Linked DNA regions of Oryzias latipes. The protein of the gene in region 2 interacts with the protein of the main gene of each other region in a pairwise test. Links are inferred from orthologs where the notes say so. Each region holds a gene or a part of one and is shown on either strand. Other genes may lie near its edges.

Region 1 (2,779 bases), on a different chromosome or scaffold from region 2:
AAAATTATTTTTTGAAAACAAATATTTCATATTTTTTTTGCAACTTAGAACGTTTTGTTTGCAATGTGGTGGCATAAATATCACTTCATATTAACCATGATGCACAGCATTTGCTCACCTGAATCTCCAGGTAACTGGAGATAAAACAGCAGACCAACCAATCTGTAGCCAAGTTTCCATGACACATATGCACAAAACTTTATTGAAATTCTAGAAGAAAAAAATTGGCAATTACACTGTTTCTATTAAACTCTGATTACGTGAAAAATTACAAACCAACTCACGATAAGTTATTCAAAAATGTGGTGATGAATGTGAACAATGCTTTGATTTACAGCAGATACGTTCAGATTTCTGCCACGGCACTAGCGCTCATCATCATCTCTATCAAAGGAGACGTTGGCGTCTTATTCAGACTTTGGAGCGGCGAGCTCCTTAAACGTAGGAGCGGCTACAAATGAAGCCATTTTTGGAAATGGTGGGTGGTGATTTTAGAGATGTGGATCCAAAAACTCCACATGACGCGCTCAACTTTTGATGAGCTGTGTGACGCTGTGGGACCTCTTGTGGCGCCCGCTGTGCAGTGTCCAAGGCCGCCACTACCCACCAAGAGGCGCATTGCCATCCGGTTGTGGGTCAAGTAATTCGGAAAAAAGTTTCCATTACAGTTTTGCAAAATATCTCAATTTCAATCTGCCTCAAAAACCGCCTCCTCCGAGCGCAAAATCTTTTTCCAAAAAATGTGAGTTTTTTATTAAATTGTCCTGTTTCCATTAGACAAATTTATCACAAATCCAATTTCTGCAATTTCCTAGTCAATAAAAACACAGCCATTGACTGAAAAGATGTTTTTGCCTTACGATCTCGCCCCCACCCCAGGCGTCGGCTCCAGCTGAACCCCACTCAGGCCGCCTTCTTGCTGGTCAACCAGCACAGCATGGTGTCCGTGTCCACCCCCATCTCTGAGATCTACGAGCAGGAGAGGGACGAGGACGGCTTCCTTTACATGGTCTACGCCTCCCAGGAGACCTTTGGATGCTAAGGAGGAAGGGAGGGGGTGGGGCAGTGGCAAATCCTCCCGTGTTGGGTGGACAGATTTTTGTTGGGGTGTGCAGTTCAAATGCCCCAGGCAAACACTCACCTCTTAGCTGTGTTTTATTACAGGCCTATTGAGAATCCGAAGTTATCAGAAAAACTCGCTCCAGACCTCAGAGGACAGGTGCGTCCGTCTGCTGTCCCACAGTCCCACTTCAGTTTCCTCCTGTTCTTTCCCACGGATTTGAGTTCTTATTTTGAAAAGCTGATGCAAACCTTGGCTGAAGGTGCAGGTTTTATTCTGAAATGGGGCACAGATTACATCAGAAAGCTAGAGGATGAGTAAAGTCACGTTGTAGTTTTGCTAGTTCTTTAGTTGTGGCACAGAAGGAGCTCCAACTCCATGTCATTTGTCAGGTTGGCCTTCACCTGTGAGCCCCCTCCAGACAGACTTACCAACCAGGTTAAAGAGCTGCACTAACCTGCTGATTACCATAATGCTCAGCTTTGCTCCCAGCAGCCCGTCAGGAGTTTTTGTTTGACCGCTTCCACAGCTGCTGGACGTCTCAGAAGGAAATGTCTCACAGCGCCTATGAGGATGTGCAGGAAAGCAGGCACCATGCCTGGAACGCATCCCGCTTGTTCCGTTAGCAGGATCCCATCCATACCGCCTGGACTTTTGCGGTCTGGCGTCTTCAGAGCGGCAGCAGAAGCAAAGGTCCAGCCTCCTCTGGGGCTCATGGCAGCAGAGTTGAGCTCAAGAAACGGGATGTAATGCCGAAACGAAGCTTCTTTTGCACACGAATTAAAACAAATATGAAGAGTTTGTGGAGATTATTCTTTATTGACTGTATTAACGTTTCCTTTTTTTTAAATTAAATCTTGTCTTTTTAAAACATTGAAAATGTCCTGCACTCCAATCCTCCCGTTTTCTCCATCAGTTTTGCCTTGTATTTATACTATTTCATGTAGAAGTCTTGATGTTCTCCCAAACCAAAAACAGCATGGAGTGAGGAGACGACGATCCTACAGTCCCGCTGAGCATCTGTCAGCTTTCCTCTTCAGACTGGTGTACACAGAGGCATCGCTGCCACCTAATTTAAAGCCAATAAATAATAAAAAAGGTTGCCTTTGAGTGTCTGTGCTTTTAGGTAATGACTTTCACATCGCTGACGGGGAGCAAGGCCATGTGGGGCAACATGGCGGCCCCTTGCAGAGACTTGCTGCAGGAAAAATATCCACTGAACTACAGTGTGCAGAGATGAGTGGATGAGGCTGGAGTCAATGGTGGTGCAGATTTTCACAATTCTCCCTAATGCTGTAGTCACAGATGCAACCGCCACCACCCGATGAGAAGGCATCAGCAAAAACTTGACGTTAAGCTGGCAGCGTGGTGGCACATTGGGGTATGCGACTGTAGTCTTAAGATATTGTAACACTTGTGCTATCCTAGGCACTTTACCATTGGGAGTTGGGTCATCTAGACCCACTAGACAGTGCTCTGAACCTTTTTCTTCAATGATTTGTGATCTTCACTGGTGTCCATGGATTACATGAAATCTTTCCACCTTTATCCACCTTTGTCATGGTAGGGAGAACACGTCAATGTAAGGGTGGGGTCATCTAAGATAGCACAAGGGTTAATAACATTGTTACTGCAGCGAGCTGAGTTGGACTGGGTGGCTGTTGGGTCGTGTTCTAAGTTCAGGAGTTCACTGAACGCATCAAGCGAGCCATGGGTTCC
Region 2 (3,721 bases):
GTGCTGAATTCTTCTACGGATGTTCATGGGACAATGTTCACGCTCGGTGCTGCCCCCTAGTGTGTTGGAGTACAATACATTTTTTTTAAAGATGGTAATCTTCTCTTTCGAATTTGTTCTTTAAAAACAATTTATACCATTTTGGTTATAATCTTTTTGGGGCCATGCATTTTTTCCGGTTTGATTTTTCTCGTCAAATCGATAAGCACGTTATATTTTGTGCCACAAAGTGACCACAAGTTTAATTAATTCAAACAAAGTTTAGTAAACCCATATAGGCACTAAGTTTTTTAACAGTATTTTACAATATTTTTTCATTGACATGATATGTGTTTCTTGACCAAGCAAACCTTACTACTACCATCAATAGTAATAATAAATCGTCATAGGTTTTTGGTCCAACAAAACAGCATAGACAGATACACAAATTAGTTTCAGTAATCTTTTTTGACATGCATAAACATACATAAGTATAAAGAGGCTTATTTTACAAGGATTGAGGAAAAAAAATATGTCATATAAGAAGAGATTAAAAACAAACCCAATGAATCGTTTATTCCAGAGTTTTAATGAATTGTAGAAAGTCCCATATACATTTGTAGCAAGTCTGCTCTGCTTATCATAAAAGTAATTAAAAAAAGACAAGTATAAATGATTGTAATAAGAAAAAATATATATATATTTTTTTAAATAAATGAGCTTTACAGTTCATTTAAACATACGAAAATATGCTTGAGGTTTTGCCCCAGCCTGGGAAGTTAGTCTGCACTTTTGTACCTGAACGCACTGTGACGCAACTGCTTTCCTGAAATCTGATTGGATCAATCGACGCTGGGAATAGATACGCCATGTTGACATTTTCCGAAGCGACCACAAAATGTATTTTAGATATATATTTTATAATTAGTGTCAGGTTTCTCTGAAACTTTATTTTTAGACCTTGTATAATGTTGTTTTTAACGCTGTAAGAGAAATGTTGTAACATTAACATCAGTGCGGAGTTGTGGTCGCTCACTGTTAGCACTGATAGCCGTTAGCTTGTGTTCTTCTGTCACCGGCGGAGCCCCTCATCAAGCTGTTTACCGGTTTCCACTCAGCTTAATTCTCTCTTTTACAGACTGACAGTGTTCCACAGCAGACACAGTTTGATGGCGTACTCTGGAGCGATGGAAAGCGCCCCTATGGACGATCGTCCCGCGTCTCAGAGTTCAAGCAATTGCCTTCGAAGTCGACCATTCTCCAGCGAAAGAGACGCCCGAGTTCGGGTCGTGAAAGCAGAACTTCAGTCCAAACTGGGGCCCTACGAGCCCGTTCTGACCTACCTGCAGTCTCTCCTGGTGTGGGAGAGACCACTTCACAGCGCCCTGTTCTTTCTTGCTGTAAACACGGCGTTCTGGTGAGTTTGACAAATAAATACACTTTTTTAGAAATTTGTTTGTGATCATTTTCCTGTAAGATAAACTTTAAAACAGGTGAAAATGACAGCAAAGCAAGTAGATGACAGTAAAAGTGTTGCAATTGTCAGTAAAACATCAAACAGGTGGTTCAATAGCTCCAAAACTTGTTTGATTTGAGATATTAGTCCAGTATTTTTCACAAAGGATGTGTTTTGCAACAGACAGGCTTGAGAACTGTAACCTAGACTCTATTCTGTTGAAATATGGATGTTGTGAATTGCTAACTTAAAAATCAAAAGGTTAAATCCAAGATTTGAGCAGTAGCTTAACATTTTAAATGTCAAATATCAGGGTTAAAGTGTGCAGATCTGGCACAAGTTTGGGGTCTGTTAGTGTTCATTCTTGTTTAATCAGAAATCTCTGGAAAAATCTTGTTTATGAACACGTTTTTGACACATCATTTCTATTATTTTTGTTTTTTATCATGTACTCCATACTAAATATATCTTCGACCACGTTGAAAATGAATCTCTTAAATGATGAGTGTTTGGATTCTACATTGGAATAATAAAAGTAACCATGTTTCTTTAAAAACAAAAAGGGGTTTCCTTCCCAAAAAATATGCTCAAAAAACAACAAAAGGCTAATAGTTGTTGACCAGAAACGTCTTAATGGGATTAATCTGAGGATTGGCAGAATCCTGCAGCATTGTTGTTGCCAACAATTCTGTGAAAACCTGAGATCTGAAATTAGAGCAACAGAGACTCGTGTTTAGATCCCAGGCAGTCTTACTCAGCCAAAAACAAAGAGCAGTTTTTTCTGTTTTGTAGCTTAACAACTAGTTCTTTCAGTGGTTTTGTCGTTGATTCAAAACTTTATTTATGGGAAACCCCTCCTAACCAATGATCACTCCTTTTTTTTTTTTTTTACCATTAATTGAATTGTGCGCTTTTTTTTTCTTCTTTAAATTTGATTTAATTCTTTGCATAGTCTTAAGGAAACAGGCAGCTAAAGCGCTGTTATTTGCATGCTTCCGGTTCCAGGTTTTTTGCCTTTACATCGATGCGTCTGCTGTTCATCCTGGCCTCTTCGCTTGCTGTCCTTGTGTCTTTTGACACCTGGAGGAATAAAATCTGGCCAAGGATTAGAGGTGTGTTTTTCTCTTCAAATTGTGGTTCTTTATATTCAGAATGTCCTTTTTTTATGCTTGTTAAAATCTATGTTTACTAAATGCGCGAGTGGAACATCAATCGGCAAACGATAAAGAAAGAAAATGACCAAACTACAGTTTGGGGAACTTTGGAATCTTTCTAATCCACGTGTCTTCATACCTCTCAGTTGTAACGCTTTGTTTCTTTGCTCTTTACAGTCAGAAAACTGGATGAATCTGAAAATGAAAGGTGTGTTTCTGTTATTTCTTCTGCAGCATTCATTGTTCGCTAAAGTGCTTCAGTCCAACATGTCTGTTTCCGCAGCTGGGCCTTGGTGCAGCCCGGCATCCTAAGTGTACCAGAGCTTTGCCATCACCTGGCAGAGGCCTGGGTCAGCGGATCAGTTCTCATGTGCTTCATGGTTCAATTCAAACAACGAAACCCTGGCAATGTAAGGATTACCGCCCAGCACCATGTATTTAATCCTCTTATTCATGTGAACTGCTTCAGTTGATCCACCTGCATTCCCTCAATGAATATTACATGGGTGACGTGCTGTGCAGGCAGTGACTTCTATCTCTGTGTTCTTCTCTGGAGCAGTTCTGCGTTCTGACCTGCGGGTTGTTCACCTGTTTGGCCGTGGTTGGGTGCTACATTTCTGGATTGGTACTGTCCTACGCTGCATGTGAGTCCGAGCAGTTTTACCGGTCCTAACTACCGGTCACGCCCTGCTGCTACACTGTTGGCAGGAAACTCATTTTATGCCAAATGAAAAATATATGAGTGAAACCAGATCTGTGGGGCCCCGACACAAGGTTTGGCCTACGAAGTGATTAAAACAGGGAGGAGGAAGAGGAGGAGGAGGAGGAGGAGGAGAGGACAGGAATCTAAAGAGGTCAGGCGGACAGCAGGTTAATCTCCTAACCTGGAGCTGGTGTTAGACTGCAGAGGGCGGGCCAGTCCACAGCTGTCCGCCTGTCTGTATTCTCAAACCCAACATGTTTGTAGATCTTCATTGATTTTATAGAAAAAACAAAAGCAAAACACTTAAATATCACCATAAGTGTCATGACTTTCCTCCTCCCTCGTTGGCAGTGTTGGTCATCCTCCTGGCTCCTCTGGCAGCATACCATCGAGTCTTTCAGCATGCGTGCATGAAGTTGGAGCCAGTCC

What was found.
Region 1: the proteins of retreg3 (region 2) and map1lc3a interact in binary tests that used the Homo sapiens proteins (3 or more experiments, as listed by UniProt). The link is inferred for Oryzias latipes from reciprocal best matches to the Homo sapiens genes RETREG3 and MAP1LC3A.

What each region holds. Positions count from the first base shown.
Region 1 is NC_019863.2:5,864,705-5,867,483, forward strand, and holds the end of map1lc3a (microtubule-associated proteins 1A/1B light chain 3A), read left to right. Parts: intron 1-879; coding exon 880-1,042; 3' UTR 1,043-2,162; downstream 2,163-2,779. UniProt on the Homo sapiens protein: Ubiquitin-like modifier involved in formation of autophagosomal vacuoles (autophagosomes). While LC3s are involved in elongation of the phagophore membrane, the GABARAP/GATE-16 subfamily is essential for a later stage in autophagosome maturation.
Region 2 is NC_019866.2:6,744,022-6,747,742, forward strand, and holds the start of retreg3 (reticulophagy regulator 3), read left to right. Parts: upstream 1-797; 5' UTR 798-879; exon of another isoform or gene 880-1,117; 5' UTR 1,118-1,148; coding exon 1,149-1,396; intron 1,397-2,440; coding exon 2,441-2,547; intron 2,548-2,766; coding exon 2,767-2,797; intron 2,798-2,872; coding exon 2,873-2,999; intron 3,000-3,148; coding exon 3,149-3,233; intron 3,234-3,643; coding exon 3,644-3,721. UniProt on the Homo sapiens protein: Endoplasmic reticulum (ER)-anchored autophagy regulator which exists in an inactive state under basal conditions but is activated following cellular stress.